Neurospora crassa OR74A: one gene and its partners. The protein of the gene in region 3 purifies or fractionates together with the protein of the main gene of each other region. This does not show direct contact. Links are inferred from orthologs where the notes say so. Each region holds a gene or a part of one and is shown on either strand. Other genes may lie near its edges. The genes, in order: tca-7, NCU00050 and NCU02407.

Region 1 (10,100 bases), on a different chromosome or scaffold from region 3:
TGCCCAAGGTGCACAAGGGAGATATCTACTCGGTTGCGTGGAGCACGGAGACGGGGCTGTTGTCCAGCGTGGGAAGTGATGGTGTTTTGGCGCTGTATCAGGAGACTGCCAACACCACAGAGAAGAATGAGGAGAACGAGACGAACGGCGAGGCGCCAACAACAACGTCTGCTGGTGGTTGGAAGGTTCTCACCACCGTCAAGGGCGCTCATGGACCATACGAGATTAACCACATCACTTGGTGTAAGCGGTACGATGCGGGGTCGGAGCGCAAGGGCGAGGAGGAGATGTTGGTCACGACGGGTGATGATGGTGTTGTCAGGCCTTGGCAAGTTAGGATACAATGAGAGAGGAAGGGGGTTTGCTGAGGGTTATCTTGGGGGGTTACGTTAATACTGGAAGTACAGTTTACGGACAAAAGAGATTGGACATGTATCAGGGATGCTTATTAGCACAAAGAAGAGCGATACATGCCGGCTGGAAGTTATGATACCCCTATATAAAATCGATATAGGACTTGCCACACTGCCTTTTCCACGTCAAGTTGTCAACGGGAAAGTGACAAAATACGTTACGATGAGTCCACCGTGCTGGATATACTCTACCCATTACACGATATTCACATGCCCCGACCATTTATTTCTTTCACTCTCTCCTACAACCTTCTTGTGTCCATCCGGCTGGGACCACGAATACCGCCTTATATCTGCCACACAATAAGAGATATAGTACAGAATCCATCTTTGTAATACAGGAGAGCTTTGCACTGGGATCGTCAGGGAAGCACGACTCGAACTTTGTCAAAACTTCCCAGTTTCCATGTTGCTATTTCTGATGATACATATCCGCCATCTTCCCAGCTCGTAACTAAGAGGCTCCATCCTATTCCGGGCTACCGAAAGACTGAGAGCTCCTGGCTACTACATATCAAAGTGCACTGTGAAGGTACTTTACGCCTATTCCTTTTGTAGGGAGGGGAGCCAGCTAGCCGTAAGATAATCAAAACGCCATGTTGATGTAGCCATGTGAAAGGTTTACCAGTGACTTGATACCACCAACCTTGATGAAGAATGGTTTATACTGTTAAGCAGCTGGACATCTCTGTGACACACTATAGTTGATGCTCGACATCAGCACCAACGCTATACAACCTGCCAGTGCAGGAGGTAACCATATTGTTATAATAACTTGAGCACGTCCAGTCGGATCTCACAGATGTTGAACGTGGGATTCACGAACACGAACGCGGAGGATAGGTAGAGGGAGTAGTGACGCCATTCCCAGTTCCTCCATTCAATGCTTCCAATATAGCAACCCTTCTTCGATCACGAGTTGGCTTGTTAGTATACTTACTTCTTCTCACTACCTACCTACCCAGAAGCATATGTACCGTATTCGAAGTACAGTTGTACATCTTTTCAGTTCAAGCAACTGTCTTTGTGCTTCCTTACTTACCTGCGCCTACACTATTTTGAGCGAGGAGGCTGTTCCGTGACCGTCTAGTCTAGCCGTCTATCTCTCTCTCTCTCTCTCATTTCGATCTTATCTTCGTAGTAGACCATGAATACCTACCTATCAACCAATCGCCATCTTTCCTTTTTCGCATGTCTACTATGTAGTTGTACATACGTAGAGGTATCTTCTTTCAGGAGCTTATTGTAGTGTACGTTTCCTGTCCTATTACTACCTCCATCAATGTTACCGTTCGTGGGGCTTTGCAATCCATTACATTAGTGTAGTGTAGTGTAATGTACCCAGCTGCGTTGGCCTCGTTTCGTTTCGTTTTCGGTCTTTTTGGGCATTGCCATATGGCATATGGCATATGGCATATGTATGGCAATGGCAATTGGCCGACGGACGCCCGGATCATCAATCAATCACGAAGCGGCCGGCGGCTCTTTTCGTCTCGTGTCGTTTCGTTTTTTTTTTTTTTTTTTTTTTTTTTTTTTTTTTTTTTTTTTTTTTTTTTTTTTCGGTGATGTCGGGGATTGTCTTGTTTACTCCGCTCGGTTCTCCGCGCCCACAAAGTCCGTTCGTTCCCGTCGTTCTTTAAAACGCTTCGACGCTTGTCCTAGCGGTCGGGTCTTTCGGAACCACTCGGGTAATAATCCCTCGCTCGCTCGCTCGTTGACACGGTGAAAGTTTTTCTCCACAAGATGGGGGTTTGAACCCCCCCTCATTCATCCATTGCCATCATCCATTCTGCCACTTTTTTGTCTTTTGTGCCTAAGAAAATGCCAGGTGTGCTGGGGATTACTGTACATATTTCAGGGAACTGTCCCCCGGCGAGGTGATGAAAATTAAAGTACCATGATACCTTTGTGATACGGTATGTTCGTATGTCTTGTAAGTTACACGATCGTCAAAGCTCTCAACTACTTGTGGGGAGGAGCTTCCGTTTAAGTGCCAAGGGAGCTTACCTACAGACGCTACCCCGTTCTCGGGTATTAGTGCAGTGCAACTGTCCACATCATATAGCGGCCTATCAGCCGCATCAAGTTGTTGAGATAAGGTGAAAGTGCAGCGTAGATGGACGTAGTGTATCAGTTGGGCTGCAAGATATGTAAACGCTATCAAGATCTCGTCAGTCCGATCTGCGGATAGTAGGAAGGTGAGGATGATCTCCGGGGTTACCGGACGGTGCTACCCCCTTGTTGATCCCCCCTTTCAAAGGGACAAACAAGTCCACCAAAGTAAACAAAACAAAGCAGGTCACTTGAGATCGAAGCTGGAGAATGAGATCAAGCTTGAACAATCATCGAATGAATGTATTGTTGTGCAAGGAGAGTAAACATTTGGTATCACATCCATTCATTATTTCCAAAAACCCAACAACCCAGGTATGCAGTGAACAGGAACCGAATACAGATACAATTATGAACAAGAGAAAAACACCATGTAGTATTCGTCAGTGAAGGGAAGAGGAAGAACAAAGGAAGAACACCTTCCCATCCCAAAACCAATAAACACTCTCTATCCGCCCCGAAATCCCGTCCTTATGCACGCGCATCCATAATACACAGACCTAGGTCTCCGCCGTGTTGGTGGTTGTTCGACTTTTGCTGCTTCCTTTTTACTTTGCTTTCTTCATCATCGCTATCTCTTCCGACACACCCTTTACTCGCCCTTGAGCTTGCTCTGAGTAACAGAGAAAGCCATGTCGACAAGCTCCTTCTCCTCCTTGACGTGAGAAGACTTCTTGCCAGTAGCGACAGAAGCGCTGGGAGCACGACCAGCGTACATGACGTGCTTGCGGTCATGGTGCTTGGTGTGGTTGAGAAGAGTCTCAAGACGAGGCTGGGTGTAAGACCAGGCACCAGCGTTGAGGGGCTCCTCCTGGGCCCAGACGATGGTCTTGGCGTTGGTGTACTGGTCGAGGTTCTCACGGAGCTGCTCCCAGGGGAAGGGGTGGAGCTGCTCGATACGAGTGATGGCGACGTTGTCGATCTTGTTGTCCTGGCGGTGCTTGAGGAGAGCGGCATAGACCTGACCAGTGCAGAGAATGACACGCTCAATCTCCTCAGGGGCCTTGATCTCACCAGTCTGGTGAGCAGAGTCGGGAAGGATCCAGCGGAAGTGGGCGTCGTCAGTGAACTCCTCGATGTCGGAACGAGCAACGGGGTGACGCAAGAGCGCCTTGGAGAAGAAAATGACGAGAGCTAAGTGACACAAAGTTAGCATTTTGACGAGATACGTGCTAGTTCAACCACGGAAACTTACGCTTGCGGAACTGTCTCTTCAGCTGGCGGCGGAGAATGTGGAAGAGGTTGGCAGGGGAGGTCATGTAGGCAATCTGCATGTTGCAGTCCTGGTGCTGACGTTCAAGCTTCTCGGGGGAGGGGTAGATGCGAGGATCCTCGTTGCAAAGCGAGAGGAAACGCTCCATACGAGCGGAAGAGTGCTCGGGACCCTGGCCGTCATAACCGTGGGGGAGAGACATGACGAGGCCGGTACGCTGCATCCACTTGCTCTCACCAGAGGCAAGGAACTGATCAATGATGACCTGAGCAGTGTTGGCGAAATCACCGAACTGGGCCTCCCACATGTTGAAGCCGTTGGGGTCCTGGAGAGAGTAACCGTACTCGAAACCGAGGATACCATACTCGGAGAGGGAAGAGTTGGAGATGACGAAGGGGGCCTGGTCCTCGCTGATATGCTGGAGAGGAATGTAGGTGTCTTCAGTCTCCTGGTCGTGGAAGACGGCGTGGCGCTGAGAGAAGGTACCACGCTCGACATCCTGACCGGTGATACGGACGTGGTGGCCCTCCTTGACGAGGGTACCAAAGGCAAGAGCCTCAGCGGTAGCCCAGTCGATGCCCTTGCCCTCCACAACGGACTTGGTGCGGTTGGTCAGGATACGCTTCAGGTTACGGTGGGCATGGAAGCCCTCGGGAGTGCTGCCAATGACGGTACCAATGTGCTCAAGGGTCGGCTTGTCAACCGCGGTAGGCATGTGGGGGAGAACCTCGCTAGCAAGCTCCTTGGGGCTCTTGAAGTTGTTCCAGGCGCTGGTGGTCCACTCCTTGGAAGTGGGCTGGTAGTCCTTGGACTTGGAGAAGCTCTCCTCGAGCATGCCCCAGACCCACTGCTTGTGCTCCTCGATGTCCTCCTTGGTGAAGGTGCCCTCCTTGAGGAGCTGGTCAACGTAGATGTCGATCTGAGGGCTCTTTTCGCTGATGCGCTTGTACATGAGGGGCTGAGTAAAGGCAGGCTGGTCGGTCTCGTTGTGGCCGTGCTTGCGGTAGCAGACAAGGTCGATGATAACATCCTGCTTGAACTCGGCACGCCAGTCAGAAGCGAGCTGGCAGACGAAGTTGACAGCCTCGACATCGTCAGCATTGACGTGGAAGACAGGGGCGTCAATGGCCTTGGCGATATCCGTGCAGTAGGCAGTGGAGCGGGCAAAACGGGGGTCAGTGGTGAAACCGATCTGGTTGTTGACAACCAAGTGGATGGTACCACCGGTAGAGAAGGCGGGGAGGTTGTGGAAGCCCAAGCACTCGTAGACGATACCCTGACCAGCGATGGCGGCATCACCGTGGAGGAGGACACCCATGGCGCTCTTGTGGTCACTCTCGTCGTTGTTGTAGTGCTGGATGGCGCGGACCTTGCCGAGGACGACGGGGTCCTCAGCCTCGAGATGCGAGGGGTTGGCAACGAGGGAGAGCTGGACGCGCTTGCCCGAGGGGGTAGGGCGCTCGAAGTTCATACCCAAGTGGTACTTGACATCACCGGAACCCTCCTCATCGGCACCGGCCATGCCGGCGAATTCGGAAAAGATGGCCTCGTTGGGCTTGCGGACGACGTTGGAGAGGACGTTGAGACGGCCACGATGGGGCATACCAATGACGATGTCCTTGACGCCGTAGTCAACGGAGCGGTCGATGAGGGCCTTCATACCAGGAACAAGGGTCTCGCAACCCTCGAGACCGAAACGCTTGTCGTTGGGGTACTTGGTGGCGAGGAAGGACTCGAAGCTGGAGGACCAGATGAGGCGGTCGAGAATGCGGCGCTTCTCATCGATCGAGTACTTGAAAGGCTGGGGGATCTCGAGACGCTCACGGAGCCAGTCGCACTTCTCCCTGTCGGGGATGTGGATGAACTCGACACCATAGGAGCCGCAGTAGATCTTCTCGCAGGCGTCGATGATCTCGCGGAGCGTCATCTTCTCGCGGCCATCGCGGGCGAAACGGGGGAGGATGCCGGGGCCGAGGCTGTACTCGGTGTCGAGATCCTTCTCGGTGAAGCCGTAGTATTCGGGGGTGAGCTCCTTGGGCCTGATGTTGCCGAAGCCCTTGGAGGCAGGAGTGTTGCGGATGCCCAGAGGGTCAATGTTGGCCTTGTGGTGACCACGGGCCTGGTAGGCGCGGACGAGGAGCTGGACCTTCAAGTGGTTGGTGACGTTGGCACCCTCGCCAATGCCGACGCCGGCGCCGGCAGCGAGACCGGGCACCACGTTGGCGGCACCGGGAACCAGGCTGGGAGGAGGCTGGAAGGCCTGGGAGATGGGCATGTTGCCGCTCTCCATGTTCTTGAAGTAGACCTGCCACGAGACGTGGACGCTCTTGGGGTCCTGCTTCCACTGGAGGTACATCTCGTCGATATAGTTGGCGGCGCTGCCCGAGAGGAAGTTGTCGTTGGGGTCGGGCGGGCTGTGGAGGGCGCTCTCATGGCGCCTCTGCTGGGAGACGGCCAGGGGACGGCGGCCAACGGCGGGCTTGAGGGAGGCCCTGGTGGTCTGGGCGACCTGGGAATAGCATCGTTTTGAGGCGCCTGCGGTCTGCAGGGCCCGGATGGAACCGCGCAACATGATGGGTGGCTGTTGTGAGGTGAGGGTATTAGGACGCAGAAACCGAAAGCGCAATCCAAGCAGCGGGGTTTTGTTTTGTGTGTACAATCTGGAAGAGGGGAGATTTGGGGGGGGGGGATGCGCAAAAGGCAAAAGGAGCGGCGGAGTAAGTCTAGGTCTCGGTCGTCGTCGTCGACTCTTGAGGGGGGGAATGGGGAGAGAGGGGGAGAGAAGACGAGAGGATCGAGATTTGGAGGGGAGGGGGACGACAGACGTTGGTGTTTTTGATGTTTCGTTGGTGTCGGGGGAAGGGGCGGCGGGAATGCAGCGACGGAAAAAAAGGGCCTCACTCTGCCCGCCGTGCAGGTGCGTCGAGTTGCTCCGTCCACTCACTGGAGTCGGGCGGTCGGTCGACCTGTCGGTGCAAACTGCAAGAGCGAGCGAGTGCTGCCGTCCAGCTGTGCTGCTGTGCATGCCTGCTGACTCCCGTTCTGCCCGCCCTGTGGAATTGACAGAACTAACGAACTGAATTGAGTGGACTGAAGTAGCTCGTACAGTGAGCATCAAGGCATCTGCACGGCTCTGTGGAGGGGACGATGACGGCACTTGCTGAAGCACAAGTGAGGCTCCCTCCCCCTCGGCTCCCGCCGTTGCGCCGCTACAAGCGCACTCAGTGCAGTGCGCCCTGGATGCTTCTCTTGGCCATAGCTTTAACATTGTGGAGCCGGCGAAACTGGGTGGAGCTACCCAGCTTCTCGCACTGGGAACAAATACATCGAAGACGCCCGGGACCCAACAAACTTGAAGGGGACATCAATGTGAGATTCTCTCGGTACCTCCATAGCCGCAAACTCGCCTACCTTCAGTTATTTACTGCTCAGTCTGCTACATACCCATACGTAGTAGCGTACACAATGGAATACACGAAGAGATATCATATCCATCATCTACTCGAATCCGTCCTCCCTCTTGTTGTTTGTCCAAAAGTCACGACGGAGTTCACGGTTCGAGCGGTGACCACGGTAACAGCAAGCATAACCGGAAGTCGTGGAGTTTCTGTGGTTTCAAGGAGGGGGACGGGAGCTGTGTCTCCATGACAAGTCATCGGGCACGCAGCAAACTGGGAAAGTGTGGAAGAGCTGGAAGTTACGGTCTGGAGAGTGCTACTGTAATTATTTCATTACGCATTGGCTCCCGCACCTCCCGTCGAGACTGGAGTTGGAGGCTCCGAGACCTGACCCGAGTCCCTTTTCCCCGGAAATCACGGTTCCCGTCTTTTTGGACCAAGTATCCAATCTTACCGTGGAAAGTGGGGAAAACTTCCATGTCCGAGGTGGAAATGTACGGTAACGCTTTCGGTCCCATCTTTGAGCGCGAACTTTTCGAAGCTTTCGCTTGGGGCATCGAACTGATGGAACTGCGCTAGACATGGTCTGGTCGGTATCCTGGGTTATGGGTTTGGGTTCAATTAGCTACTTGGCACTGACCGCCTTGTGACTTGCCGTAGTATCATGTGACTTTTGCAAAAGTCATTTATCAAATCCATTTTGTCAAAGAAGAGACAAGCGAACCGAGTCTAGATCTCGTCTCGATCTCGTCTCGAGTGGTTTATCGAAATGACTTTGAGGTTTGGCTGTTGGTTTCGATTGTGTAATTCACTACAAAATCCTGCATCGTCAGCTGCCACCTTCAACTTCTTCTTCATTATTGAGCCAGTTGCAGCATTGACTGCACGTCACAGTGTTAAATCCCCCAACTCTCATTGGCTGGCCGTGACTGGTTCGCTGCAGTGCAGTTGCTGTTGTCCAAGCTCTGCGCTGGCTTCAGATCCTTGGCATTTCCCACCCACGGCACCTGCAGCAGTTCGTCGCCCAGAGCTCAGGTCCTGTGGTGGCCAGAGATCCGACCTGGGTGGACAGCTGCCGTGACACTGTCTGTCGGTTCAAAGTGGAACCTTCCCGAGCTGAAACCTGAAGTTCAAGTTCTTTACACTAGTTGAACAGCCCCAGGGCGACCATGGAATTGTTAGTAGTCGTGCTCCACTGCAGCCTCAGCTGCCGCCTGCCTGCCTGCCACGCATAAACTACCTACTACACTATGTAAACTCACCACCCACTCACCATCCCGCAACGACATCCGCAGCAGCCAATGCCTCACCCCGGATTCAAGACTGACGGGACCTGGATTAGATTTGCTTGGCGTTACTACACTACATCACCACGTCCATCATCGTCTAATGCCGTGTACCTTGACGACTCTCCCGTCTCTCTTCGATATCAGTAAGGCGTAGTACACGAGCACGCTGTGACATACGTATCGCGTTAATACATCCTTGTCAAGGAACACATTGCGAGGCTGGTCCGTCTTTATAACATCAAAAGATTGGGAACTGGGCATTGAGCGTGGACTTGAGATATTCAACGGGCGGTTAGGGAGAGGACTACCTAGCCAACATGGCCCCGATTGAGATTCCCCGGGGACAGGCCTCTTACAAAAAAAGAGAGGGCATCATCACATTAACCCCAGACAAGACAGCCCTGATATGGAGCCCCTTGCCGGGCACTGGCCCACCCGTCATCTCACTTTCCGTATCCAACATCACAAACCTCCAACAGACCCCCAAGACGAATCCCAAGGTCGTCTTGAGAGTCGTCGAGAAACCCAAGGCGCCCGGAGCCGATCCGGCTGCCTATCCCTTCCAGTTCACACATGCCACCGAGGCCAGGAATGAGGCCGATGCCATCAAGGATCTTCTCTCTCAGATCATTGCTGAGCTTCGTGGCGATGACCCTTCTCTACCCAAGCCGGCAAAGTCTGGCCCCAACGGCGCCGGCGCCTCTGCCGCCATGGCCATGGCCAGTGCCGTGAACTCGAAGCATTTGCCGTTTCGCTGGTTCGAAGACGACATGCTAAAGGCCGATGTAGAACTTCAGCAGTCCCTCATGAAGAAGGATAAGGCCTTGGCCCATATATATAACGACGCAAAGCTGTCCAAGCCAGATTCATTATCAGATGCCTCCTTCAACAGCCAGTTCTGGGCCACCCGCATCAGCCTGCTACGTGCCTATGCCATCGAGCTGAACCAGAAGAAGGGCTCATATAACGTCCTATCAACCATCAAGCCCCGGACCGAGAACGGCGAGCTCAAGTTGAACATCAACCATGAGCAGGTCCAGCTCATCTTCCAACAACACCCACTGGTCAAGCGCATCTACAACGAGAACGTCCCCAAGCTCACAGAGTCCGAGTTCTGGTCCCGCTTCTTTCTCAGCCGTCTCTCCAAGAAGCTCCGCGGCGAGCGCATCACCGACAATGACAACACCGACCCCTTATTCGACAAGTATCTCGAAGCCGACAACACCATGGCAGTCCCAGCCAAGATCACCGCCACGAGTGTGCCCCCCATCATCAACATCGAAGGCAACGAAGAAAACCAAGGTGGCTTCAGGGGTGGCAACCTCAAAGACGTCGAGATGCGTCCGCGCGCCAACATCCCCATCATCAAAACGCTCAATTCGCTCTCCGAGAAAATCATGGCCAACGTCGCCCCCACAGACGTCGACCCCTCCGCCGCCTCCTACTCCAAAGACGGCATCGCCGACGCCCTATCCAAACAACTCGCCCTGCAAGACCTCCGTGGCGACGCCGAGGCCCAGCTGATCCGGCTTTCCGTCAAGGACACCTCCACCTTCTTCACAGGCAACCAGCCCTCGCTCACCGACCAAGAAGCCGCCGACGCGCGCCTCTACGCCACCCAAGTCCCCTCGGACGTGCTCTTCGAAGTGCAAGCGGACATGGACACTCTCGACTC
Region 2 (10,064 bases), on a different chromosome or scaffold from region 3:
ACGGCCGGCATGGACTTTTCTTCAACACCCGTCCGAAACCACCCTTCCCTTGCTTCATTTTCTGTTACCCCGTGGGAAAAATCTCTTCCTTCGTTCGCTCGGCGGATCTGGACGGACAGCCTCCCCTTTGTTGATTTTGCTTGTTTTCCCTCTCTCTGCCCCCCGCTTCCTCTCCTCCCTGCGCCCCAGCCCCCACACTCACGCACACGGCTGGAGTCTCAGTGGCTTATGATACGCCAATTCGAACCTGCTCACCGCTCAAATCGCTAGATGTACACTATGCCATAGATATGGTGAAAGAGGGTGGTGGGAATGTCTCGTCCCGAATGCGCATCATCCCATGTGTGAGGGTGTAAAGAGCATGACAGAGGATGGCGGTTGGTGAGTATGGGTGCCAGCATCGCATCTGGATGTTCTGCGAAGTGTGTGCAGGAAGACAATGCGAGTGGGTTTCTTTTCCCTTTTGCTTTGTGGGTGAGGCCTTTCTTGCATTGAGCTAGCACCCTTTTGGTTAATGCAACTTGAGGGTGCACGAACCACCCGGTGTATGTAGCGGGCTCCGGGGTCATGGGAGAGGCTCAAACTTCGTTCCGTCTTCTTTTTTTTCCGGTTCTGTCGTCCAGTATTCCATTCCTCTTGTCTTTCTAGGAGTTGTCTGACATGCCCAGTTTCTGTGAAGCGTACCTATGGTTCATATTGTAATTTGCCAGACTTACAGTTGAACCGATACCGACAGAACCTAGAGTATTGCGACACGAATGGATACTACGTAGGCTCTATGTGGGATCTATAGACCCTCGCTCGCCTCGTTAGCGATCATTTGGTTCAAGTTTCAACAGCGCTATCAAAATCTGCCGGACAAGGCTGTCCCTTGATACATGAACGCAACGACCTCTTTGGCTCGCATACACATGGCCATATGTATCGGACGATAGGGTTCTAGAGGATGGTAGTTGAGGCTCTATAGCCTTCTCGTCGTCGCCGCGGGACAAAGACAACAGAGTGCCAAGAATCCGTCACAAACAACGCATATCACACAATACGCCCATAATGGACAGCCTTTCCTTGGATTCCACTCCCATAACGTACGATTACCGGGAGTAGCTGGCACCATGCCATCATCTTCTTTGTCAAGACAACACATGCCTACATCGACCGTTGACATGGGACCGCAGGCTGAAGTGAGGTAAGGCAAGGTAAGGGTGCTCACCCTAAACCGAAGATGACGCTGTCTCGCTTCTTCCCGCACCCTTTCCGCCATTGATATTGCCAAGGGACAAAGACTCACGTTTCACAATGGAGAGGATATCGCCGGTATCACGGAAAGCAACCATGAATAGGAAAATACCGGCTTGCCGAAGTCGGGGGATCCCTTTCGGTTTGATATGGGACGTGGGACGCCGGCAAGGCAACACTCACGTCGGCACTGTACGACAAAGTGAAGAAAGAGTTATACGGAGCGTAGATACAGGCTTACACTTACACACAACTCACCTTCCCATATGACACTTCATTCTAGATTACGCACACAAGGCTGTACTGTTGCAATACCTAACTAGTGAGATATCGCCTTGTGTTGGTTGCGTACCTAACTTCAAGTCTGGAAGTAACGATATTCTGAACGAGAAATTCAAACTCCGGAGTCCTATCCTGCTTCATCTTTGTCAGTCGTCATCAACAAAATCATCCGAAGTTACCGGGCACTCCAACAACAATATATTTCTTTCACCCGCGTGTCCGAAGAAGGTTCAAAGTAGCACCAAGAGACTTGCGGCGCAAAGTCGGCAGATCAAACATCTTGAAATACATGCTAATCCCAGGTAGATTTACAAAGCTTCTTCTGACATCACCGACATATGCGGGGCAACGGTCTGATAATGAACCGAGTATGGTCTCATCTCATTGCATCTCGTCTCATCTTATCCTGCTAACTGTTGTGGTTTGGTTTTCGGTCTTATGTCACTGGCTTGATGTGTCCCCGGTCGGATGGCTTGACCTTGAAGCTTCACACATAGGGGTATCCCAGGTAGGTGTATGGCAGAAACTTATGCACCGACTAAATTGCATGTCGTGACTTGTGTCACAGCTTGTTACACCTGATGACTCTGTTGTAGGGTTCTGAAAATCCTGCAGGTAAGTATGTCCTTTCTTGTGCGTCTACTTCTATTCTCTGCGGGCTTCTAGGTCTCATTTGTAGGTGGACGTTGGCTCTTACCGACACCTGAACCCGGAAACTTTCTGGAAAAGTTAACGAATTTTACTCTGATTGAAAGAACAGCGAGGATTACATCAGATAACTTTGCTTCGTTACTCGTTAGTGTATGCAATCTTAACCTAGCCAAGTATAGACTTCATCGAAAGCTGTGCCTTACAACCCTTGATGCCATATACTTAGGTATCTCCTCAATTCACAACTTAGGCTGTGTTTGATCTAATTTGATCTGGTACGGTTTTCGTGCAAAAAAGGGCCATGTGCGATGTTTCCAATACTCGGAAAGGCGGCCACGTCATCAAGTATCCGTGTCCAGAGAGAAGTTGGAACTCGCCTTGGGAATATCGAATTGAGTTTAGTTGGGTTGAGTTGAGTCGAGCTACCCAGTTGAGTGAACTGAGCTTTTTCAAGCGCTATACGAAAGCCGTACGAGAACAAACGCAGCCTTAGGTGTAAATGGAAAAGATGAACCGTTTCCAAGTCATTTGTTATCCACGAGTGTCTAAGACAAGCCGCGCGGCCCATGGTCTTGAAGTTGTTTCAATCGAGTTGTACATGGGGGTTCGGTCAGACCAAGTTTGAACTTTGAAGCCTCGCGAAGCGGATGGTTACCGTTTCCAGTTCCAGATCTGGAGAAGATTCAAAGATGCGGAGACATGAGACTTATTCAGATTATTCTTGGATGTAAGTGAGCGGAGGATCTAGGAAGGGCTTGGACCTAAAGTGGAAGATTGAGGGCTTTGAAAGTCCCAGGATTGAGGATCCAGAGCTACTCACAACAGGACATTGAAGCCTTTTGCAATTTCCCACAGTTGAACTTGGACTCATCTTTCGGGTCGTTTCAACCGTGCAGAATGCTCATCAACGCATTTGGCTCATATTCAAGAATCAAAGATATAGAGGCCATGACGCCGAACACGGTTCTCCCCTTCGTTGCCTTCCTCCCCTCACTCACTTTAACGTCCCCGCATATTCATACCACATATCCCATGGTCTCCATCACACAAATTCAGAAAGCTTTTCAGGTACATGTATGTCCTCCCAATATTTGCCCCATCAGGCCAACTGATTACGGATTGAGGCAAACCGGCCAAGGTAGGTATCAAAGATCTTCATCGAGGGTCCTGGGTGCCCGACCCGAAGATAGCCTGGAGACTAGACGTCGGTAAATTGGTCTTGGAATATTAAACAACGATATGGTCAGTGCTTGATTGGACAAGATGGGTATATGGGAAAAAGAGAGGCGAGGAGGTAGAAGTAAAAGCGGGGGTGTGATTGGAGATGTAGGAGGCATGAGTATAACCTCATATGAGACGAGTGGATGTATTGGGATATGTGATTGCGGACCAGACCATGTGATGATAGGTGTAGTAGACGTGGTGGGCCTATATAGCAATCATTGGGAATTCATCGTGGGGTGGGAAATGTTCACTCGGCTTATACCAGGAAATGGCTTTAGCGTTCAATCTCCCCTAGGGGTACGAATGCTTTTGGTACACGCCGCAGGTGTTTTCGGACTGAGTGCCCCAATGTGGTTTCAAACAGGATCCATTACCATTCATCCAGTAAGGCTCTTTATGGCTCTTTACGAAGGTCCTGGTGGTATGGACACCTCTACCGTATTGAGATAGTAAGTTCAGATAATTCGAGGCTCGAGTGTCTTTTGTGGGAAAGAATTAATCTGTCAAGTGTCTCTATTTTGAATACATGATGAGTTGATGGATGGTCTCGAACGAGATGAGGCCTACACTATATGCACATAGTGTGGTTCAATCTCAGCCTCCTCCAGAAGGCTCTAGTGGCAGACCTTGAGAGAAATGATTAAAAAAGCTGGTTCTTTCTTCTACGGAGGTCTATCACTTATGTGCCATGAAGTCTTCCAGTGTACTTGGCGGCCAGAAAAACTTATAGCCCAAGATACAATATACCTTACCGCTGTGTGACAGAGGCCTGGCTTATGATGTTGATCAACATCGAGTTCGAACTGAATCATTTTCCTCCCGTACCTCGAGTTTTTGACGGATGACCTGTGAAGATCAGGTCACAGTGTACCTGCTCATGAACAGGAGCTGCATGGCGGTTGGACGTACGAGCTGATCAAATGACCGAAACATGGCCTGGCAAATCCCTCCATACGAGCGGAGAACTTTACCGTCGAGCACAGAGCTCATGGGCTAAAGGCACGCCAACCATAACGCAATCATGTCTCGGTTATTCGAGCGGTTGAAACGCGACTAAAAAATGCCCAGGATGTCCGCACATAAGCGCATGTTGTCCTCCCGAACATTAAGAGTAGAGAACCTAGATCATGAAGCCATAAAAGTGGAAGTCTAGTGCTAACAAGTTACTCCATACAATCCAATACCAACATATGTCAAGCAAGTAAACCCCATGTGCATTATGTGCATTTTATTCCCTCTCTATAAAAGGCAATTGAGGGAGCGCAGGATGAAAAAGAATGAACAGATCATTAAGTTTTTTTTAGGCACGTACAAGCTTGTCAGGCTCCTGTTCCAAAACAAGCTTCATCTTCTGAAGGAAGGCCTGGGCCCTCTTCTCTTCCGACTTGGGTACCTGAAGGCTGAAGACGTTGGGTCCAGAAGTGGTCAATCCGGGGGCGGCGGACTTGCTCTGAGCAGAAGCAGCAACGCGCGTGGAGGGAGCGGCGAGAATATCGATGATATCAGCCTTGCGAGCTGCCCGCTGAGGGGCCACGAAGGAGCCGAACGTGGGAGTATAGGAGCCGCGAGATTCCTTGCGAGTGACCTTGTCAAGACCGAGAACCTGGTTGAAGAGCTCATCGGCAGTAGGCTGGTAGTTTGCGGGAAGGGGTAGCTTCTGGTTGGCGATCTCGGTGGCACGGGTAATGAAGGTTGAAAGAGGGAGGAAGACGCCGATGGTTTTGTGAAGCTTGTTCTGAACATCGATGGCGGCGGACAGAGAAATAGGCGCGGTGACAACAGCTACGGGAGGAGGAGCGGGAGCATCCAGCTTCTTGGACTGAGCCTTCTCGGTAGTGGCCTTGACAGCCTCGGTGCTCTTGGCAACCTTGATGTTGCTAAGGTCGAGGTGCGACTGCTTCTCGAACCTCTCGGAGACGGTGGACGGCGTCTGGGCGTTAATCTTACCAAGGTAAGCAAGAACGTCACCCTTGAGCAGACGGCCGCCGGGGCCGGTTGGGGTGATATCCTTAACGGCAGCGGCGTCAATGCCGTTGACCTTGAGGAGATGGGCGACGGAAGGATAGTGGGGGTATTGCCTCTTCGGAGGCTTGGGAGCCGACTTGGACGAAGCATTCTGAGGAGCGGATTCGGGGACGGCAACGTTAGACTGGTCCGCGGTGGTCGGTGGGGGAGGTGCCGAGGGTGCTGACTCGGCTGGCTTGGACTGTGGGGCTGCGTCGGCTGGGATCTCGAGAGAGCTAATGTCATCTCCTTCCTCCGCAATAACAGCTATCCGGGCGCCGACAGCAACACCCTTGGCGCCATCGTTCTTCATGATCTTGACCATGACACCGTCATCCTGCGCCTCAACGTCCATAGTGGCCTTGTCGGTCTCGATTTCCAACAACACGTCACCGGCAGAGAACTTGTCGCCCTCCTTCACCCTCCAGGTCGCGATATTGCCCTCCGTCATTGTCGGCGACAGAGCGGGCATGGTAAAGTTTTGGGCGGCGAGAGCGGCGGCAGAGGTACGGAAACCTGTTTACATGGCATGTTGCTCCAAGTCAGCAAGTGATGACCTTCTAGGCACCTAAAGCGGGCATCATGTTGACGGGCAGGTGACGGGAGCCGAGAGAACCGACCTCTGACGGAGCGCCCTGCCATTCTGGCAGAGATGCGACAAGCTGCTGTTAGCGAAGCCATGGCGGATGATTATGTGGTGTTGTCGCAACGAAGACGTGAAATGCCTGGTCAACGTGGATATCGCGATAGGGCTATGGTGGTTTCCAGCAAGGAAATCGAGAATGGGGTTCGTGGTTGCTGCTTGCTGGGGATCTCCAATTGAGCCTTATGCTTGACGTATGTCAAACGAGTCAGGTTCAATGCTAAATTCCACCGCGAGGTCGACGGGATGGGCAGCGGGCAGTGGATCTTTTTGTCTTCCTGTCAAGAAGTCTGGCTGCGGACCCGGCGGCGACAGAAAACGGACGGGAACCAACCCAGAAAAAGCTGTCGCCAGCTTGTGGATGCTGATGAGGGTCGATGAGCGACATGTTGGGGAAACGACCGTGGGAAGCTTGGACCACCCTCCAAATCCTCCGATGAACCCCCGCGACCGCCCCATGTCCCCAAACCTCTTTGGGCAACGAACCTCTCTTTTTTTTTTTTTTTTTTTTTTTTGGGCGACGTCTTCACCACACATCACTGGCGTGCAGCACCCGAGCAGCTGTCTCTGCGCAGGACGCGCGCTACAGTCAAAACTGGAGCCAAATTTCAATGGAAGTTGCCCGGGGTTGTCATCATCCTCGCGCTACTGTAGTGTAGAGTCAGCAAGGATTGGGGACATCCATGTCCTCCCCCGTCAGCCCGTCTTCGGGCATGGTGATTAGGGGCATTAGACTGGTCCGTGCATACTCCACTTTCCTTAAGCCGAAGGTATCAAAAGTCACCCGTATAATTACCGTAATTACAGAACATATGGCCGGCATATGGTTGACATATGTCAATATTAACGATTCACATTCACATGCGGGGGCCTCTCACCGGCCCCCTGCACCCCCGGAGCTAACCCTAACCCTAACTAACCCTAACTAACCCTAACTAACCCTAACTAACCCTAACTAACCCTAACTAACCCTAACTAACCCTAATACTAATTGGTAATTTGCAAAGAAGTCGGGTATTGACGGCTGTTCGCGGACGTAATTACAAGCTGGTATGGAGAAGGTACCAAAAGCGACTTGGCACGTGATCAGACCCATATTTTCTAATGCCCCCATTCACCGTCCCCCCCGTCTTCGGCCTCCAAATTCTCCCCTGCAGCCAAGAACCGGTCCCCACCAGCGGAGCTCCATTGCGGACCGAGTTCCTGAGGGGAATCCGCTAAAATATTCGAGACCTGGGAGCGGGGCCGGGTCCGAAGATAACCTGACGAACGGTTTTGTAGTGTACGTACAAGCCCCGAAACGCAACGAAACGGCAGCAGGTGGCCGGGCCGCACCGTGATCCAGTTTCCCTCCCCTCCCCGCCGTCAACTGACAAGGACCCGGACCGGAGCCGCTCGCCCTCAAATCCACATAAACTCCGTTGCCGATCTCCGTCCCCCGGCAGCTACCCCGGCGCCGTACAGAACTACCGCCCGTCATCCAACACAGCACCATGGCTTCCATTTCCAGTAGGCTCAGCAGCCAGTTCGTCCTGCTTGCACACCGCACGGCGCCATGTGCCAGGACTGCATCTCAAGCTTCGGTAACACGTTTCGTCCTGGTCTTCGGTTCCGGTTCCGGCTCCGGCTTCCGCACCGCCCAAACGGCACGCTTCTTTGCCTCCAAGGCTAAGAAGGTAGCAAAGAAGCCGACCTCATCATCCACTGTCATCACTACCGTAACCGCTCCTCCCACTGTGGTCCCCGCCTCATATGCCGAACAGCTAGCGAAGAAGGGCCGGACCCTCCTCTACGAGGCTCACTCGCACGCCTGGTTCCGCTTCGCCAGCTTCACCACCGGCAGCTTCTGCATCGCCTACTCGCTCTACAACTACTGGAGCGTCCACCTCAACCCTCCGGCGGACCTGTCCACCTGGGTCCCCTATGCCTACGGCGTCATCTGCGCCATGACCATTGGCATGGGCGGCTACTTCTTCATGGGCTTGCGGCGCATCATCCGGCACATCGAGGCCGTGCCGGCCTCTCAGGTGGTCTCCCAGATCACCGATGGCGCAGCCTCGGCCTCCACCAAAAAGTCCAAGGCATGGGCTGAGCTCCTCACCAGCAAGCCCAAGGCCGTTCCCGTCACCACCCCTACCCCGATTTACCTCGAGGTCGCCTACAGCCGCGCCATCCCCTTCTTGCCCAACAAGAAGGAGTACTACCACCCTTCCGAGGTCGAGATGCCCTTCCGCATGCAGCTGCTGTGCGAGAAGCTGAACACCCTTAGCGCGCAGAAAAACGTGGGCAAGAATTTCCCTACCACCAAGACCGGACAGATCATTGCGGCGAGCAAGCAGAAGGCTGCCAGGGAGAAGGAGCGCAAGGAAAGGATGCAGCATCTGCTCACCCTGCCGTTCAGGGACGCGGCGAAAGTGTTTCGCGGGGCGTATGATGGCCTCAGGAGGTCGTTCTACCGTGAGGGCTTTGCCAAGGTCTATCTGAGGGGCGTGGAGTATAAGTTGGATATGACTTCTGGATGGGCGCTGGATGATGGAAGGGCTATTGATCGGTTGGTCCATGTCAAGCCGAGTGCGAATATTAGCGCGTATTGAGCGGGCGTGCTTGGAAAGGTGAGCCGGGAGCGAAAGGAGTTGCGGTTGCGGTTAGGTATGCCCCCGTGACTCGTAGGACACGATATCGTTCTGTATAGACTACTGTAGCATCAACATATGTATAATAACACGCAGATGGTATGGAATCAAATAGACGAAGGAATGGAAAGTTGAACTTCCAAGGATCAATACCTTGGGAGTGTGTCCAAAGCTGCTGACTCCAAGGCTTTGACGAAGGTAGGCAGCGTGTCTCGAGTCGCTTGCCCCTTCAAGTATTTGTTCATGAAGCCCAGATCAAAATGTTTTCAAGCTGGGGGCTATATGATTGGCAAACCACTAGCGAAGATTTGTACTCAAAAAGCAAATATTGTATGTAAAACTGTGCCCAAATGAATGGGTGTCGAGTTGTTCTTCCTTCCACCTTGGGTAGGCTGGAAGTTATCCATGCAGAAAGCAAACATAGGAGGGAAAAAAAGAAGGAACCGAACGCAGAAAGAAACTAATGATAATATGATGTTAAAGCTCAAGTAATTTGAATCATTTTGGTTCATGTGAAAAGAAAGCAAAAAACATGGGACCTGGGAGGCTCGAACTCCCGACCTCAGGATTACTCTGACGTTAAGCCAGATCATACGGTTTATGAGACCTGCGCGCTAGCCAACTGCGCCAAGGTCCCTTGTTATGGTTTTATGGGCTTTACATATGCCTATACCATACAGTTAGAGAAGATCACAGTTGCTTGGCGGACAAAATCTCGCTCTTTGCATTAACAACATCCGTTTCCGAAGTGAGGAACAGTATCTAGGTAGCAATAACTTTACATATAAACCTCAACCCATTTGAAGTGTCACTCCTTCACTATACTGACGGAACCGAATGTTTGTCTCTTTTTTTTTATGACAAATGGTAGACTTCTTCTAGCTAACCTTGCCTACTGATTTGTTGGCTTGAAACACTACAAGTCATGATGGAAAGCAACGCTCAGCCGCCAAGGATTTTTGGAAACGCACATAATCGATCCTCCACCATCCTCTCTCCCCTCAGGATGTCCTTCGACGACTCCAAATACCCCCACCTCCCCTCTCAAAATCGCGCTTTATTTTGCCGACTTAGAACCACCCCTCACACGCTCCTCCTAGGCCGTGGCGAGAACAGTGTTCATTGTCGCAATCCTGTTACGACGCTGCGGGACTGAGTTCATGCTTCCACTTCCGGCCTGTTGTTGATGCTGTTCCTCTCTCGGCGCAGGTGTAACACTGGTGTTGGTGAAGACGGCATCATCCTCAGCCAAATTCACCTCACCATCCATGATCAAATCAGTCTCCCAGCCCTCCCAGCCAGGCCTGTCAAACCCATTCGGCCTTGAGGCACGCACATGCTGAATTAGCAGTCCTTCCACCTCGATCGCCTCCTTCGGCCAGCGAATATCC
Region 3 (9,948 bases):
TCGTCATTGTGCTGCTCCAAGCATCCCGGTCTTCCATCATCCACACCTTCATTCAAGCTCCCGTTCCGTTAATCTGGACTTCTGGACTTGTTTGTCAACAACCTTTGTACACAGTTCATATGGCAGGTCAGGTGCTAACTACATCCTTCCGTCCGGTGGGTCGAAACCAATCACAAGGACACCCCCGGAAAGCTCAGGTCCCAGAGTGTCGTTTATAGTTTGATTCACAGTCAGACCAGACGTAGTGATATCTCTTGAATGGCCTTGCTCTAGGACGTACGTGCAAAACTGCCTGCTCAAGGAAAGTACAGGTATGCATAGCCCGAATACCGATTTTTCTTACAATTTTTTTAGAGTAGAGAAAAAAATATATATATACTGAACAAAGCGTGGCTTTGTCTTTAATCCAGACTTGTGGGCCATTGTAGCCCGTGTAGCCCATCTACCATATCTCGTCGCTCGCCTGTGACCATCCCCTCCTTTTATAAAAGTTCCATGTGCAATACGTTTCCCTCATTCGAAAGCGTCACAATCAGTGAGCATGAGAATGTCCGATGCTGCCATCAACAATAGTCTGCTGGCACTTCCTCAAGATAGCTGCCTGCCTAGCTACATCAGCTAGCCTCCCGATGACGTGTTTGTTGCCTTCCACAAATCCGTACAGCGCATAAGGGATCCCAACATCGTTACAGAAGTCTTGGACTAGCTTCTGCGTCTTACGAAGGTTATGTCTAGGAATGCGCGGGTACAAGTGGTGAATGGCCTGGAACTGGAGGCCGCCGTGGAAAAAGTCAAGCCACTCGGGGCAGTCGACGTCCATGGTGGTGCGCAGCATGCGCTGCGGGAAGGACTCATGAGGGCCCAGATCAGACGTGGACATGGCGAAGTGTGACAGAGTGATCTGCACGTGCAACGGGCTGGTGACCGCGTGGGAGATCATGAAAAAAACAAAGCGGTTCCAGTTGCCATCGATTGCCTTGTACATGATCCCATAACCGAACCAGCACCAGAAGAAGACCTGACCGACAAGCTCGAGATGCCGGTGCCACCAGGCAGGACCGTGCTTGGGTGCCTGGCCCTTGAGTAAGTACTCCCACGAGAGACGGTAGAGGTTCAGGCGGGCGAACATCATGATGATGTAGTAGAGGTAGTGCTGGAGGGAGACGAAGAATTTGGCAAAGATGTCGTACTCCATGACACGGTCATAGTATGTGGACCGCAGATTAGTGAAGAAACGATGGGAAATGGCGAAGAAGGGGAGGTGTTCTATGTCCGGATCGTGCTCAGGGCTGTTGGTGATGATATGGTGAACGTTGTGGTTGCGCTTCCACCAACCTAGACTGAGACCACCGATGAAGTCGGCAATGATGATGCCGATGACAGTATCGACATGGAAATGGTGCGTGATGCCCATGTGTCCGGCGTCATGGGCAGTGAAGACTAGCTGGTGCCAGAAAGAGCCGAGACAGAACGCACTAGGAACGTACCAACCCCATTTTAGGAACAGAAGACACCCGCAGAAGAGGAGAGTATAGCGGAATCCTTCGATGGCGTAAGCAACATAGTTGCAGTCATAGAGTCCCTCCGCCTTGATGCGCTCGTTGAGTTCACGATACTTTCGGATGACGGTGTCTTGCGTTCCCTCATCGAGCGGAGGGTACTTGTCGAGATCGAGCCTGATCTCTTGCCTTGTTAGAGCGTCGAGATGGGCCATGCCATCCCTAGGGCCACCATCGGCGCCCTTGGCACTGGCCTTCTCATCCTCAATGGAGGAAATCGAGGTGAAGGAATCGGATCGGCTTACAGCCGACTTTGACCGGGCGTTAGAACGGGCGCGGAGTTGGTTCAATTCCGGCGCCGATTCTCCATCATCAAAGACCGGGGAAGGGGCGGGCGAAGGGGTCCGTGAGCTCTCGGATTCAGTAGAGGCAGCCTGACTCGCAAATGATGACGATCCGAAGCTAGTATCCTCATCGTAGTTCGCAGCTCTGGCCCTGATTTCTGGGGACTCCTCCTCCCATTCTTCACCTTCTTCTCCTCTTGGCCTGAACTTGCCTCCTTGTATCGGCGGCAAGAAATTCTTCCATCTCCCTGATATCCTACCCACTCTGTACCTGTTCATCTGAGCTCTTGCTTCTGGGGAATGTAACCTGTAGTGATTCCAAAAAAAAGTACACGCTATGAAGTCAGCATCTCCTTCTTCACCGGGGTCCGATAACTATACACCGGACTGGATCCAGACTGTCGCGGTTGGTGCATGATATTGTGTTTTGTACGCACCCGTTCACTTCATCGGTAGCATCCCTCCCAATCATGTGCTTGATGGCCTTGTCACCTCCGGGGTGATACTTGACCCAAGCGTCTACCTTCAGGACATATTGATCGACAATGATGATATGGCGACCTTCTGAAATCAAGGCCTCGATCTCACGGCGGGAAATGAAGGGATATGTCCGCTCTGCTGTCTTAACTGTCGACTGCTGAGCCGTTGCGGTATCTTCGGCAGCGGCGCGTGATGGTGGTGGGGGTTTAGAAGCCATTGTTGTCTTTGCGCAAGACTGTTGTGTTTTGAACGAAAAAGATGGAGGGATTCGCTACTGGATGGAACAAAACACCCGCCGTCTGTGGACAGGGAAAGGTTGTGGTGTTGTCCTCGCAACAGTTCAGGAAACCCAAGGTCAGTTTTGATAGAGATCCAAGGTGTTGATACTAGTAGGTGGGTGGACGTTTGAAGGTGGGACGGATAGGGCCACAGAGGTTGGTGAGTGGTTCGATACGTCGATTCTGATGCGGGCGCTGTTCCTAGGCAGTGGACATGGCTACCCAAAACAACGGGCATGGGACGACGTGACATTGGATAAGATCATTCCTACTGGAGGGGTTGACCGAGTGGAAACCTCACCGCTGTCCACACAGGCGCGTCTACCCAGCTTGCCAGCTCCAGGCTATCCCGCTTGGCGTTTGCTGCACCACATAGGGGTCATACAATACCAGATGTCACGCAAGGGTTCTTGCCACTCCAACGTTTGCGTCTGAAATTAAACCACATTGCTGATCGCCAACGACGTCTTTGGACCCTGGGTGTTCAGGGTAACAACTGCCTGCATGTCCCTGAAACATAGGGGAAGAATAGAACAAAGGGTCCCAAGGATATTCAGAGGGTTAGGGTCCCTGAGCGATGGCTTATCAAACAAATAACGTCATGCCAAGCAACATGCCCTGTACACGAGAATACACATTAACACCAGAACGAAGTTGAAGACCGGCATTGATGGGCACTGCTACTCGGACTAAGAAGTAATTGCACCAGCATGGAGAACAGACAAGAATCATCCAAAACCCACAGCCCTCTGATAACTCGGCAATGTTAACATAAAATAACCAGCAGCCTTCCTGCCATCCCATCTGGCAACCAAGGTAGCTTTTCTGTATCTCTTAAAATCTCGTGTATTCATCGAGTCTCGAGCCCAACCAGGACCCGCAAGGCCAAATAGCCCTAGTCCAACCAACAAGCGGCGTCTATTTAGCATGTCATGTGAAAATCCCCTATTAAACCCTCGAGGGAAAGCCCGTGACTACAGTACAAGTACACACCTCCTCCCATCCTCTTTCCATACTCCCAATGCTAGAAATCCAGACAGCACATTTTTCCGTGCTTAGAGCCATTCAACGCCAAAACGCTCCAGCTGCTTAGAAGTGGATGGCCTTTGAGTGAGTGGCCATGGCCGCCTCCTTGAAAGCCTCGGCGAGGGTAGGGTGAGCGTGGCAGGTGCGGGCAATATCCTCGCTGGAAGCGCCATACTCGAGGGCAAGGGTACCCTCAGCAATCATCTCACCGGCGTTAGGACCGATGATGTGGACACCGAGAATCCGGTCGGTCTCGGGGTCGGCGATCATCTTCACCATGCCCTCAGTGTCAAGGTTGGTCTTGGCACGGGAGTTGGCGCTGAAGGGGAAGGTACCGACGCGGTAGGGAACACCAGCCTTCTTGAGTTCCTGCTCGGACTGGCCAACCCAGGCAACCTCGGGGAAGGTGTACATGACCGAAGGAATGCAGCCGTAGTTGACATGGCCGTAACCCTTCTTGATGTACTCGACGACAGCAACAGCCTCCTCCTCAGCCTTGTGAGCAAGCATGGGGCCGAAGGTGACATCACCAACGCAGCGAATGTGGGGGATCTTGGTGCGGTACTCGGAGTCGATGATGACACGGCCGCGCTCATCCTTCTCGAGTCCAATGTTCTCAAGGCCGAGACCCTCGGTGTAGGGACGGCGGCCAATAGCGACAAGAACAACGTCACCCTCGAGCTGTGTTCGAACAATGTCAGCTTTGAAGATCACGACAACGAACAGATAGCCTGCAGGGTATCATGGGCCACTCACAGTCTCGGGCTTGCCACCCTTGGCGGAGTCGACCTCGAGCTTGACGGTCTCGCCAGTCTTGTCACCGGAAACGACCTTGGTGCCGGTCTTGAAGTTGATGCCCTGCTTCTTCAGGATCTTCTGGATGGACTTGGCAACCTCAAGGTCCATGCCGGGGCCGCCAATCTGGTCGAGAAACTCGATGACGGTGACCTGGGCGCCGAGACGGGACCAGACAGAAGCCATTTCGAGACCAATGATGCCACCACCGATGACGAGCATCTTCTCCGGGACCTTCTCAAGAGCAATGGCGCCAGTGCTGCTGATGACGCGCTTCTCGTCGATTTCGAGGCCGGGGAAGGGGGTGACCTCGGAGCCAGTGGCGATAAGGATGTTCTTGCCCTTGACGGAGGTCTCGCCGCCGTCGTTGAGCTTGACGTTGATGGTGTGCTCATCGGCGAAGGCGCCAGCACCCTTGATGTACTCGACGCCGTTCTTCTTCAGGAGGAACTCGACACCTTTGGTAAGACCGCTGACGGACTGTTCCTTGGCCTTCATAAGCTGGGCGAGGTTGAGCTTGACATCGCCGACCTCGATGCCGCGGTGTTTCGAGTCGTGGAGGATCTGATGGTAGAGATGGGAGTTGTTGAGGAGCGACTTGGAGGGAATGCAGCCGACGTTCAGGCAGGTACCGCCGAGGGTGCCGCGCTTCTCGATACAGGCGACCTATTTCCAGGCAACATGGGAGATAGCAGTCAGATATTGTCGTCATTCGTCGGTGTTGCGGTGTAGTTGATTCGCGATGCGACGCACCTTGAGACCCTCCTGGCCGGCCTTGATGGCAGCAACATAGCCAGCGACGCCACCTCCAATGATGACGAGATCCTTCTCCTCTACGGGCACATCAACAGTCAGCCGACCAGAATCCTTTGACGAGAACCAGCTCTTGATGTTGGCAAACAGACCAGACTCGGTCGCATAGGTCCTCCTCAACCTGGGAGAAACGACGACAGGGAGCCTGTATGTGGTCGTCAGGTCAGCCTCAGTACGCGCATGAGAAAACAGTGTGTCGGGCATCCGCCGGCAACCGGGACAGTGAGCTTACCCCGAGGGCTTGAAGGCGGACCGGACGGCAGCACGGCCTATTAATCTTTGGGACAGCATGGTGAAAGTATGTGCTGAATGGAAAAACCAGAAATGGAAACAGGGAAAATTCGAAGGAACGAGCGCACTGCAGAGAGATGCCCGGGGAAGCAGGGAATGCGATTCGATGGTGAGACGTCGAAAGTGTGTACTGAACTGCAAAACGCCGCGGGAGAGACAATTGTTGGGATTCGAGGCGGAAGCTATTCACGGCAAGCGAAAAATGTCCAGTCCCACTTGTTCGGGTTGCCAGCCCGTCAGAGGCTCACATCGCTCAAAGGGCACCCGCTTTCCACCGTGCCCGTCCCCAAGCTGGCCCGCTCGAGACAGCGCAGAGCGGAGTAGGTAGAGGTAGGTACGAACGGAGCGGAGTAGGAACACCACTACCTAGGTAGGTAGTAGGTACCTCTAATCTCGCGTACGCTACACTAAATAGGTAGGTAGGTACTGCCTGATCGTGTTAGTAGTGTAGAGGTAGTGTGCTACAGGAAGTAAAAGTACTATGATGCCAGTGTTAGGCGGGACGGGCAGCGCGCTCTTCGCCGTCTTACTTTACTGTCGCTGCTGCCCTGACTGCTTCGTCGAAGAAACCCGTCCCCAAATACGTACGGTACTAGGTACGCTCCATTGCGTCCTGTGATTGGTCAAGACGAACTTGGCGTGCAGCAGCTGACTCCAAAATTTTGACATCTCTGCACTCCCGCTATGTATTGTAGCCATTTTTCTGACAGCTTAGGTTGTGTTTGACATTCATCTTGCTCCTTGGCGCGATCCCCTCTTTGCTCCCCTCTTTACTCCGCCCGTCAACGCCAAATAACCCCAGCTTGCCCAGCTGCCGAATTGGAGAAGCATAACCTGTCCCTAACCCGTCTTAGAGGTTAGTTGTTTGTCGAACGACATGACACATGGCAGGCAATTCATCTCAAACCATCTGCCTCCTCTTCATGTCCACAATCAAGAGTCCCGCCCGACCCTCATGAAACCCTGTCCCTTCGTTGCAAGACGAAATGACATCATTGAGTGCTATTCACAGACCACTATATTTCCGGGCTCCCGCACACTCGAGTCGGTTGCTCCCTGGATCCCTAGTAGCAAATCGCCCTTCCTGACAACAAGTTCCCCAACTTAAAGCTACCCCCAACTTTTCCAGTCCCGCCGTCAACGCTAATATCTACAAAGTAGGTAACTACATTCGAGCGAGAATGCTTGGGTTAGTTCCATGAACTTGTCATGATATTGGTCAATGGCCTTTTGTATAGACCCCGGCACACTTGTATCCCTGATCATTATGTTGCTATTCCCGAAGATATCCGATCCATATACAGGTATCCAACAAAGCAAAATTATTCCACCAAGCCTTCGGCGGCGAGCAGCGCATGCTCCAAGGCCGCCATGGCCGTCTTGCAACCCTCCTTGACGAGCTTGGTGTTGGCCGCCCCTCCCGCGAGATCCGACTTCCGGACCACCTTCTTGATGAACCATTGCAGGCCTCTGGCAAGCTCGGGGACCCCTTCCACAGCCACAAACACCGAAGTAATCGTCTCATCCCGATCCTTGTCGCCGCCTTTTCCGGCTTCAAGAAGCACAGTAATCAGCAGGATCTCCACTAGCGCCCGCGTCTTGGTTTGTAGATAAGGCAAATTGAGGCATTTCAGAATTGCCAATCCTAGCGATCCACCTGCCACCATGGCCCCAAACAGTTTTGCAATGTTGACAAGCCGCCGCATGTCCATCGCATCTACATCCTCCTCATCCTCCGCGTCATCGCCAAAAACTGACTCTCCGAGACGCCTGAATAGCTTCCAGAGCGCGTCTTGGAACGACCACCGGATTTTGCGATCCCCGCAAAGCTTCTTGGCCACCAAGGTGTAGTATGGGTTGTAGACCTGCTCTGCGCCGGCACACTGGATGACCACGTATGGAATCTCTCTCTGTCGCTCCTTGTTCAGGCGCAACTTGAGGATGCGGTAGTAGGCATCTTCGTAGTCCGTGGCGGACATTATCGACACAAAGATGGACCGGCGCACGTCCGTGTTCATCTGGTTTTCTCTGGCAAGTTCTCCGAGGTCAGGCATGTCCTCGACATCCTCCAAGACAAAGCTTTCGTCGTCCGAGTCAACGCTATCCTGTATGACACCGTCCTGGGTCAATGGCTTCTTGTCACTGTCCTTATCTCTGCCTGCCCAGCTAGCGCCTACAAGCCACCATTTGCCCTTCTTGTCGGCATCGCGTATATCGGCAAGGGTCATTCGCAAGGGCTCGGCCGTCTTGATGGTTTTCAAGGTGCCCAAAAGCTTCTTCATCTTGGTTGTGTGCTCCGTGAGAACGGCGGAAGCGCCTAAACCCGTCTTCATCTTGTTGTTTTTCAGGTCGTTGATGGTCTCAATCATGAATTTAGTTCTGACGCTGAGGTTCTTCTCTCCGATCTTGGCAACAGCCGGGCGGATAAGGGTAACAATGTCCTTGACAGACATGGGGTCATCTTGTCGGAGGGCTGGGCCAGCAATGCGCACAATTCTGAGCAAAAGTTCCGCGTTCAGCTCCGAAAGATCACCCAAAAGGATTCGAATGAAGTCGAAGAGCAAGTTAGGGCCCACGAGTTGAAAGTTATAGAGTTCGGATAGGAAAGTGATGAGGTTGGATGTCTGTTTCGGCACGTCTGGCCGCTCCTTTGCAGCCTCTTTGGCCTCTTCATAATGCCTATCAAATCGCTCGATCACTTCTTGAATTAACTGTGCGCCAAAGTCCATGCCAATCACCTTGAAGATACCCGTAGCGAAACCCGCGGTAAGCACGAGCAACGTATCAGGCAGCGTCGTTGGCTCGCACACCTGAATGAGTAGGAGATCGACAATGTTCGACGTAAGATGTTGTCGCGGGTTGTCGCGGTAAAGCTTTTCAAAGTCCATAATGATGGATAAAAGATTAGACTCTGTCATCCTGTTGATGAGACCTTGTGTTTGACGGCGAATGTGGGCCACCAACTCCGCTTCTGAGCCCGCCTCCTGTCGCTTCGATGGTGGCACGTATTTCACTACAGTCCGCCCAGTTGTAGGCGCAACATATGGGTTTTCGCGGACCCGTTCTGGCGGCTTTTGTAGCGTTTCTTCGTCGTTGTCGGATTCGTCGTCGTCGCCGTCGTCCTCGTCGTCGTCCTCGTCGTCGTCCTCGTCAAATCCTCCAAAATCCCCCTCATCCTCGCCCAAGATGCTGTCTTCTTCTCCATCTTCATCAGAATCGCCTTCGACCATGTCTTCGTCTTGGTCAACGTCGTTGTCTTCGTCCGAGTTCAATCCCTCTAAGAGATCGTCCAAGCCATCGTCCTCTTCGTCCAGTTCGGAGACTTCATTTTCTTCCTCGTCTAGTTCGAATTCCTTCGTCTTCTTGGCCTCTTCCGCTTTCCTCCTTTTCGCCGCAAGCCACTCATCCGCTTCGGACTTCCGCTTCCTTTTCTCGGCTGTTTCGTCGTCTACGCCAGGAAGGCCTTCTAGTAGATCAAGAAGACCATCCTCCTGGAAGGACTTGGGAAGCGATTTGCGTCCCTTGATGCCGAGCTTCTTTTCGAGGTCTGCGATCTCCTTGTCGTCTTGCGCCAATCGTTCCATGACAGTTTTTGAGATTTTGGGCTGCGACTTCGATATGGTTTGTGTTGGGACATCACTTTCCTCTTCATCGTCCACGTCTTCGCCGTCTTTGTCGTCTTCTTCGTCGAGGTCTAGCTCATCGTCCTCGTCCTCGTCAAGATCGATATCGCCCTCGTCATCGAAATCCTCATCATCGTCCTCTTCGAGGGCAACATCTTCATCCTCATCCTCCAATGATCGTTTCTTCCCGTTCTTCAAGATGGGCTTGGGTTCCTTTGCTTCCTTTGACGATGCGGCATCGACCTTCTTCTGTGGTTTTGGGGCTGTAGCGCGCTCGGTATGGTAACTTCTTGTGGACGAGGTGCGGTGAATCCTTTTCTGTGTTCTCTCTGCTTTACGGCGATCCTTTCTAGACTGAAATTGATTCTTGCGACCTCCGTGAGATTGTCCTGCAAGAGTTAGGATTTCGTCGGAGAACCCTGATTGCCAGGCAGGAATGACAATGGCTGTATGGGCGCATGAACGGAGGCACGCTCACCTTCTACGCCGAGCTCCTTCAGGAGGTTGTCAGGCAATTTTGGAGCCTTTATCCTCATGGAGGGTGCCATGTTGTAATATGCGCGTGCGGAGGTGTAGATGTGATTGATTGGCACGACCTCCAAACTTTGCAAGGCTCTCTCGTCCGTCGCTGCATGGAAGAGCGCGGGATCGGGACCTTGCTATCGTTATCAGATAGTTTTTTTGGTTATCGGTCGGTGCAGGGTTCCAGGCATGTCGACTGCGGGGCCAAGAGCGCCAAGAGATGAAGCGGGTCCTCCGCTGCTTGGGACCCCACCCGGCTGGTTTTACGCTGGGGAAG

The links.
Region 1: the proteins of NCU02407 (region 3) and tca-7 purify together in Saccharomyces cerevisiae (affinity purification with mass spectrometry; 5 studies listed by BioGRID, with this or other methods). This does not show direct contact. The link is inferred for Neurospora crassa OR74A from reciprocal best matches to the Saccharomyces cerevisiae genes LPD1 and KGD1.
Region 2: the proteins of NCU02407 (region 3) and NCU00050 purify together in Saccharomyces cerevisiae (affinity purification with mass spectrometry; 3 studies listed by BioGRID). This does not show direct contact. The link is inferred for Neurospora crassa OR74A from reciprocal best matches to the Saccharomyces cerevisiae genes LPD1 and PDX1.

Annotation. Positions count from the first base shown.
Region 1 is NC_026502.1:1,592,269-1,602,368, reverse strand, and holds tca-7 (2-oxoglutarate dehydrogenase E1 component), read right to left. Parts: upstream 6,782-10,100; 5' UTR 6,764-6,781; coding exon 3,721-6,763; intron 3,660-3,720; coding exon 3,118-3,659; 3' UTR 2,514-3,117; downstream 1-2,513. Other genes in the region: NCU05426 (WD repeat protein), read left to right, coding at 1-347; NCU05423 (hypothetical protein), read left to right, coding at 8,743-10,100. UniProt on the Saccharomyces cerevisiae protein: The 2-oxoglutarate dehydrogenase complex catalyzes the overall conversion of 2-oxoglutarate to succinyl-CoA and CO(2).
Region 2 is NC_026503.1:2,409,305-2,419,368, forward strand, and holds NCU00050 (pyruvate dehydrogenase X component), read right to left. Parts: upstream 6,423-10,064; 5' UTR 6,079-6,422; coding exon 6,018-6,078; intron 5,914-6,017; coding exon 4,694-5,913; 3' UTR 3,907-4,693; downstream 1-3,906. Other genes in the region: NCU00051 (hypothetical protein), read left to right, coding at 7,534-8,634; NCU00052 (alpha-methylacyl-CoA racemase), read right to left, coding at 9,770-10,064. UniProt on the Saccharomyces cerevisiae protein: Required for anchoring dihydrolipoamide dehydrogenase (E3) to the dihydrolipoamide transacetylase (E2) core of the pyruvate dehydrogenase complexes of eukaryotes. This specific binding is essential for a functional PDH complex.
Region 3 is NC_026507.1:2,603,787-2,613,734, forward strand, and holds NCU02407 (dihydrolipoyl dehydrogenase), read right to left. Parts: upstream 5,995-9,948; 5' UTR 5,527-5,994; coding exon 5,468-5,526; intron 5,381-5,467; coding exon 5,328-5,380; intron 5,256-5,327; coding exon 5,176-5,255; intron 5,089-5,175; coding exon 4,384-5,088; intron 4,309-4,383; coding exon 3,691-4,308; 3' UTR 3,251-3,690; downstream 1-3,250. Other genes in the region: NCU02408 (fatty acid desaturase), read right to left, coding at 533-2,150, 2,281-2,540; NCU02406 (nuclear protein), read right to left, coding at 6,849-9,538, 9,628-9,697.